Tribolium castaneum: one gene and its partner. The protein of the gene in region 2 interacts with the protein of the main gene of each other region in a pairwise test. Links are inferred from orthologs where the notes say so. Each region holds a gene or a part of one and is shown on either strand. Other genes may lie near its edges.

Region 1 (4,501 bases), on a different chromosome or scaffold from region 2:
GTCGTTTTTTAAACATTTGTGTGTGATGTTAAAATCTAACTAAGTAAATAACGTGTCACATGTAAGATAAGGCCTTTGGATAAGACCCAAGATTTGTAAATATACTCATAAAGTCATAATTAAAACATTTAATCACAAAATTGTATAATAAATAAAACAATTTTTAACTTTTTGTACATATTTTATTAATTAGTTTATATTACAAATTGGCAAAAAATCAATACCAGTAATATTTCGGGGGTACCCGGTCCTCTTTAATGCCCATGCTGTTCATAACATCCATTTCAAACGTTTGCAATTTCGGTTCAAACGTAATTTGCGTCACATCATTCGCTGCGGTGTCTTTGGGCTGTTCCTTATAAGTCCCCTTTGTCTTATAATCTATGGTTTCTTCCGCTGTCGCAGGAACGGGAATTATCCTCCCGGTCCTTGTAGACACCCTCACTTCCTCCCCATCTTCCGTAAACCTCCACTCAAATGGCGTGGCTTGCAAATCGGAGGGATCAACAAGTGCCACTTGTTCAGTCACCAAAAGGGGCTTCTCCACTTGCAAATACGCCCCCTCGAAACCTTTCCGCTCCCCGACTTTCTCCAAAACGCAGTTTAAACCTTCAACCGTGACCCAATTACGCTCCTGAATGATTTGTTTGACAATGCCCTGTTTTCCCTTATCTTTCCCAGCAAGAATCTCAACACGGTCGCCTCGGAAGAAGCTCCATTTTCTGATAGGCTCGACGAAAACTTTTGCGTGGTGAACCCCCGGTGCGTTCTCTTCTCGAAATTGGCTTGTCCACGGCCGGTGCATGGCAAATTTGTACTTGGTGCGCTTAGCCACCGCATTTGGTTTGTATTGGATGCCTTTGGGGTTCCTCCACTCCACTTGCTCCATCGCACGCTTTATGTAACGGTCGGGCAAATTTGAATAGTCCTTGGAGTATTTGCCCACTTTTGAAAGGAGGAACTGTGTTAGCCGCATTTTGTTCTTGTAACTACTTTAATTATTTTTCCATTTATTTTTCAAGTTAGAGGTTAGATCACTCTACAGAGGTCTATTTTATCGACGTTCGGCACCAATGCTACCAACATTTTTTAATTTTTTTTATGCGGTAATTCAAATAAAACAATTTTCAGTGTCTTTTTTTCAATGAAGCCAAAGTAATGCTTAATAATTTGTTATGAAACGAGTAATATAACCCAAAAAATAATTTTTAATTATAAAAGAAGTAGCGGTTTCAAGTTAAGATGACAAAAAATAATTAATGTTATCAAACACAATAGGGCAACATTTAACGAGTAAATAAAAAATCTAGGCCTTACACACTTTGCATGTGCGTACAGCAATGCTCTAATCTTTATCAGTGATACTAATCTCAAGATATGAGTTCACACAGCTATCCAGCTATCACACATTTCACGGTGAAAGATAAGAGAATTAAATTAAGAGAAATCTTCAAATTTGTGTTGGAATTCGTGTATTCAAGTGTTGTAACTATAAATATTTAGCTGTGGAGAACACTGTGTTTTTATAGTGCGTTTACTTAATTAAGCGTGATGCAAGAGATTAAGATTTGCATTCATGTCCTTGCAACCTCAAAATCCACCTGCTGAGCCTTCGGATGGCCCCCGGCAACGAAGTAGATCGTTGGGCAATAGATTACGATCGCTATCGATTGTATCTTCAAACCATAGCCCAAGACGATCATTTTGCGTGTCAACATTGGTAAGAATTTAAAAGCAATAAAACACCTAACTCATAATCACATGATAAAATAAACACAAGTTTAATTGCTTGCATAACCCGACGAAAAAACATTTGCCCAAACTCCCAAACCGGTACTTTTCTCAATTTTTGGTCCACTTTTGCCAACAAAACCTTTATTTTAATTATGGCACTGGAAATTTTGGGATTCGGACGCATCTCCGTAACCCTTATCAAGCAAATATCAAGATAAGAGAATATAACAAATTAAACCGAGTTTAAAAAAAAAGGTGGCAACCTTTTTGTGTCACAAGTGCGGCCAACCGCAGCGCACGGAGTTCCCCAAAAACGTCATTGTTGAAAAAAAGTTTGACATTAGAGTTTGTGTAGCTTGTCAATTCTTATTGGAATGAATAAATTGTTTTCGTGGCTGTGATCATTTTAACATTAGATGTAACATACAAATTTAGTTTTTTATCTTTAATGGCATCAGAAAATATCTATGGATACTTTCCTCAAATCGGACTCGATCGACTTGTAAGTTGCAAAATTAGTTACGTACAAGGATCATTTTCTACTATCAATGTCACTCGTATGTTTTTCCTTGGGCACATGCATATTGCGGCAAATTAAATAACTTATTTTATGATTAATCGATCTTTTAACTCCTGACCTGTCATTTGCACAAGGTCTTAAACCTCCTCCTTGCTCCTAAGCAAACCTATTTGTTTTTGTTGTGAAGTCGTAATTTAAACACAAAGTGAAACGAAGCTCTCTAATAGCGACATTATCACTAATTTGTTTATTCAATGATCTATTTACCAATCTAATCTAACCCATGTTTTGTAGACAGAAGAACCAACCAGCAAAATACGGCTCAGAATAATTAGGGGAAAGAATCTTATGAAAAAGGATATTTTTGGGGCAAGGTAACGTAATCCGCTTTTAAGCCACAAAACTTATTATCGTTTTAGTGATCCTTACGTAAAGATCGATCTGAACACAATAAACGGAGATGAAACGATTGATTCCGTTTTAACAAAAACTAAGAAAAGGGTGAGGTAATAACGATTAATAAATAGACTAAATTTTACATTTTTAACTTCCAACAGACCCTCAATCCAGAATGGAACGAAGAATTCATATTTCGGGTAAGTATCACTGATCAGAGTGGTCTGCGACTCAAGTCAAGTCACAGGCCACTTATTTGCGAGCGTGGTTTGGAACATTAATTTTCTGGCTAGGTGAAACCAGCGGAACACAAGCTGATCCTCCAAGTCTTTGACGAGAACAGACTAACCCGCGATGACTTCCTCGGCATGGTGGAGATAACTCTGATAAATCTGCCGCGAGAGCAGGAGGGGCGCAACATCGGAACAGTGAAATACCTCCTAGGCCGCAGAAGGTAGCACACTTGGCCTAACTTTTTCTAGCTTGCATGTTAATACTTGTGCTTAATTTTGCATGCTGGTCTTACTCGTCAATTACTCTACGTAGCAGTTTTAGTGCTCGTTCAAGAGTTCGAGGGCACCTTGAGATATATCACGCGTTTCTGCACGACAGCGAGGTGCCCCCGGCGCCCCCCGATTCGGACCGGATCGGCAATGAGCGCGACTGGGAGATTATGAGCGATGGGCGGGAGGAGGGGCCAGCGCAGGTAATTCGAGTTGCGATTTGTTGTGTTTTTTTAATGATTTATTTTTTGATAAGCCTGTATATGTTAATGATCCTTTTGAGTCCAATGCGCCCCTGCCTCCTGGCTGGGAGGAGCGGCAAGACGCGAACGGGAGGACGTATTACGTCAACCACATAGCGAGAACCACTCAGTGGGAGAGGCCCACGTCTAGGTACTTATTTTTGAGTGTTGGGCATTTAATTAGCGTTTTTTGTGCAGCAATAATGTCGATAACCAATTACAAGAGCAAAGGGTGCTTGAGCAGGCTGTGGTTTTTGAACGGCGCTACCACATTAGCGCCGAGGATGAGAATAATGGCAGAGGCGATTCCAGTGCAAGTCAAGTATGTTATTTTTTTTAAATAATATTACTGAAATATCAGTAGTTGGTGTAGTGGTAATGCATGTATGAGGTGGTGCATTAGTGTTATTTTGAAATTTTGGTGTTGGCAATCATTCATTGGCTATTTACATGTGAAACCCATCATGTTTTCCTTTTTTTATACGGAAAAATTCAGTTCCGTGACAGTGTCTCTCATGCAAACACGTATTGATTGACAATTTTTTAATAACAGGATTGGGAACACACTTTAAGTTGATTAATTGAACCCTATCCTGTTTTGCGTTATAGTAAGATATAAAAACTTGGCCACAATGGTGTACTTAATTGTGTCTTTAAGCCAGTGGTAATGGCGTTTTATTGATACCTAAAAACGAAATTAATAATTCAGCTAATGAATCGACTGTTTCTCAGAAATTCTTGTCTGCATTATTACGTCTGAATTTTTTATCAATCTTAATTATTCAAAAAGCAGATTATTCATGAATTAATTATGATGGTAAATTTTTGTGTTCATTTTATTTAAATTATGTAAAAATATCGCTTGATTTATAAATTTACTGCAATAACGTCTCGTGGTAAACATATAATTTTTTTATTAAATTTGCTTTGCAATAATTAAAAAATGCATAATAATAGGATATTTTTATCATTTTGACATATACAGGGTCGCTAAAATGTATGGATATAGTTAAATATTATAAAAACTATTCATCAAAACTTATTGCAATTTGTATAATTTCATCGTTTCAGATGTTTGTCAAATTTATATTTCCATTTGTTCTTAG
Region 2 (3,700 bases):
TACCGGGTCATTGTTGTTGTTTGTGGGAGGCTTGGACTTGGTCTCGTTCCGGAAGCACGGCACGTCAGTCTTTCGACAGCGCTGCTCGAGGGCCAAGAGCGAAGGGAACACAATAAGCAATGCAGCACCGTGGAATATAACAAGTACCGCACATTGTAAACAGAAAACACGTAACGCCGGCACTGGCAGTACAGCAGCCGCTAAGAACGCGGCGGAATTCACTAACGCCGCCGAGATAATGCTAGGACCCGTCCTTTGTAGCACTTCCGGTGGCGACAGATTCCTCATATGCGTCGACAAAATAAGGAACATTTCTCTCATTGCGAGTCCAACAGTAACAAAAGGTAACACATGCGTGCTCAGTAGGTTTATCGGCAGTCCGATCAAACTGCAAACGCCCAGCGCGGCGGCGGCTGAGCTCGCCAAGACCAGCACTCCCAAGGCAGCCAGCCCCGACTGGGCCACCCACCCGTACACCGCCGCCACCCCCAGCACCACCCCCAGCTTCACCACGTCCGTCTTCGACGCCTCCTTCAACATCTTGTTCAAATTGGCGGTGGAGAACGTCACGAAGATGTAATTCGACGACTTCTTGCTCTTCGTCAGACGATCCACCTCCTGGAACAACCAAAAATTACCACCATTCACTCTACTCCTTGCGCCAACCACCAACCTGTGCGAACTTCTTCTGCCAGGCGTTCAGTACGGTTGTGGCCTTCTCCTGGTTCCATCCGATGTGGTGCACTTTGTAATGTCCAGACCAGAATTCGAACAGTTCGTGTTCGCCCATTAATTGTACAACAGTTTGTAAAGCTTTGGCTTGTTTAATATGACCAGATTTATTCTTATTGGCACCGCCAACGATCAAGTCTTCCGGCCAGTGCATGTATTTCGCGGCGAAACCGTAACAACCACTGGTTAGTTCAGCACCAATATCTAAATTTTGACTCGAATTGTAATTTGGAGCCGTCACTGGACATTCCGGGTCGCGGGGGTTCAAACACGGCTTTTCCTGATATCCAGAGGTTATTCCAGCACGCTTGAAATAATCCTCTAAAGAATGATAATCAAACTGGGATTCTTTTTGCTTTAACTCGGATACTAACTGACTGGGGTTGAGGTTTGTCCATTTTATATGCTTGCCTATTCCATATCTAGAAACAAATAAACTCCAGATAAAACCCAAATCACACTTTGGGTTACTTTTTTTTGTAAATTTAATGCTCTGAATCGAAATTTAACAACAAAAATTATGTATCAATATTTTGATGACACTTTTCTTCATGTTTATCTATACTGCCTTAAGATTTTCGGTAAAAGAATCTAAGTGAGAATTCAAAAATGAATGACTTGTCGCATATTTTAGGCCTTAATACGTGAACATATGATTCAGATGGATTAATGTAACATAAATGCATAACGAAATTACAAGAAGTATTGGATTTTGAGAAATTTTGTTTATTTATTGTAAAAACAAATCATCATGTAACAAAACCAACTATAATTATCCAATTAATAAATTAATTGCTTGAAATTTGAAATTATGACACTTTTTTAATCCAAACTCTTCACTATGTTTCTATAAAATGAGTACATTGCGAACTCTCGAGATCTCCCCTATTTCAAATGAAAAATGTAAACTGTAGTTAAATTAGTTAATTGTTGTTGAAAAGAAAGGCGTAAATAATGTTACGTTCTTTCGCCAAGCCAAAAAAATATGAATTACTCGATTCCGATTCCGGATTAAAAATGAAATTAAATAAGACGATGAAAAAAAGTAAATATTTTGAATAAAACGGGTGATCAGCCTTTTTGCGAGCATTTTGGCTGTTGTTCCGGGAACGGTCGCGGTAGGTAAGACATTTGAGTTGGTTATAAAAGGGCAGCTGCTGAGCCCGTGACCACCCTCCAAGTCGGTCGGTTTTCCGAACTTACGGTATATGGACAGGATAATCAGGTCCGAGCAATTTGGAGCCTTCCCAGAAGCAGTCGAGCGCCGTGATGATGGAGCAGGGCATCATATTTTCGAAAATCTGTTCAATAAAGTGCGCATCAAAATTGGGAATGCTGGGTGCTTGGCAGAAGTCCTTGAGGCGCCAGGTGATGTCGAACATCGTGATGGTGACCTGCGTGGCCTTCTGGAGGAGCGCGAGGTGCTCCAGGAGGCCGTGCGGATGCAGGAGGTCGATGTCGGGCTCGACGGCCGTCTGCACGATCATCTGGTGCGTGGAGAGCATCTCCTGCGGCGTCGCCTCGGCGCCCGTGGAGGGCTCGGCCCACAGCAGCTCGATGTCCGAGTGGAAGGCCATGCTCTTCAGGCCCACGGAGAAGGTGGCGATCGCCAGCACGCTCACGAAGAGGAACTTGCCGGCGTGCGTATCGAGGATGCGGCCCAGGGAGCGCAGCTGGCGCTGAATTCGGCCACGAACCCACAGAATGCCGCGGTCTCCGCTCGCTTTGCCCTGCAACAGAGTATACCATGCAATGGACCACCCAAGCAGCGGCCTGACGTCACACGGACCACCCAAGTTGCATACATATGGATACGGCAATCTCCGCCGCACTTCACCGCCTAGACTGTCCTTCTAGGAAGGATCGTCCAACGCTAGCAAGCCTACCTACGGCCGCAGCGGCCTACCATTACTCCGATCACTCCGATTCAACAATATTGCCAATCACTACTCATACTCGACAGATACACACCGCCATACCATATCTCACAGCTGTCACACGACATGCCCTCGCACCGAAACGACCACGCAACCCCGAAAAGGAACCACCACACATTCCTCCTCTGCTTCCTCTTCTTTCATTACTATATTATACAAACGACGACATTTTTATCGCCAGTACCGATATGCCATTATTTTAGGACACCCTGTACGCACGAACGCCCACCAAACCCCTCCCGACCCCAAATTCCAACAACTCCTCACGACACAATTAACAAAAACCACCACTGACTTTTCGATACAAATCGATTTCTTGAGATTTTGGCACCTGTTATGACTAAGTATGACGTATGACATACTATATTCTATATACTTGGTATAATACTTGTGTTCCCTTCGATTCTACTGTTCTTTAAAGTTTTTTTAAACCCAAAAATGTTCCATTTGAAAAAACATAACTTTGGTGTTTTCTAATATTGGGACAGCCTGTATATGTACGAAGTTATACTAATATATAATAAGTTATTTAGCTTTTGTGTGTATGAAGGGCTGATAGGAAATGTGAGCCCTCGTCATGAATTTGGCGATCGTGGCTCGGTGCCAACAGCCTCCGCTCGCAGATTATGTCACAAAACCGCCAGCATTCAATTTCGGGTATTTATTTTTTATGTGGCATTCCTGTTGTCCATTAAACCGCTGGCTCATGCGAACGGAATGTTCACTAAATTGGGAGACATTCATCAAAATTTCAGTGGTCATTTCCCTGCTAATCAATAAAACCGTTTCCGTCCGAAATAGCGAGGCCTTTACCGCTCAAATATTGCAATTACCTGGCATAAAAAAGCCATAAAACCGCATTTACATATAAAATAAATAAAATAAGTTCGATTATTTTCATTAAAACCCGAGTCATGTGCATAATCTTTATTTGTTGCCGTTCTGAATTTAAATTTGCGAGTTGAGCGTGCATTTTTAAAAAGAGAGGAAAGTAGGTGCTCCAGCTTTACATGGGTTTAATTATTGTAAAT

Evidence for each region.
Region 1: the proteins of ptc (region 2) and Nedd4 interact in a two-hybrid assay, tested with the Drosophila melanogaster proteins (2 studies listed by BioGRID). The link is inferred for Tribolium castaneum from reciprocal best matches to the Drosophila melanogaster genes ptc and Nedd4.

What each region holds. Positions count from the first base shown.
Region 1 is NC_087396.1:13,306,881-13,311,381, reverse strand, and holds the start of Nedd4 (E3 ubiquitin-protein ligase Nedd-4), read left to right. Parts: upstream 1-1,393; 5' UTR 1,394-1,576; coding exon 1,577-1,720; intron 1,721-2,044; exon of another isoform or gene 2,045-2,182; coding exon of another isoform or gene 2,183-2,236; intron 2,237-2,548; coding exon 2,549-2,628; intron 2,629-2,673; coding exon 2,674-2,755; exon of another isoform or gene 2,756-2,760; intron 2,761-2,811; coding exon 2,812-2,850; intron 2,851-2,943; coding exon 2,944-3,104; intron 3,105-3,196; coding exon 3,197-3,356; intron 3,357-3,409; coding exon 3,410-3,546; intron 3,547-3,593; coding exon 3,594-3,717; intron 3,718-4,501. Other genes in the region: mRpL24 (large ribosomal subunit protein uL24m), read right to left, coding at 218-976. UniProt on the Drosophila melanogaster protein: Essential E3 ubiquitin-protein ligase which accepts ubiquitin from an E2 ubiquitin-conjugating enzyme in the form of a thioester and then directly transfers the ubiquitin to targeted substrates.
Region 2 is NC_087403.1:6,989,682-6,993,381, reverse strand, and holds part of ptc (patched), read right to left. Parts: intron 2,853-3,700; exon of another isoform or gene 2,540-2,852; coding exon of another isoform or gene 2,522-2,539; intron 2,463-2,521; coding exon 1,936-2,462; intron 1,155-1,935; coding exon 674-1,154; intron 619-673; coding exon 4-618; intron 1-3. UniProt on the Drosophila melanogaster protein: Segmentation polarity protein. Acts as a receptor for the hedgehog protein (hh). Associates with the smoothened protein (SMO) to transduce the hedgehog signal leading to the activation of wingless, decapentaplegic and patched itself.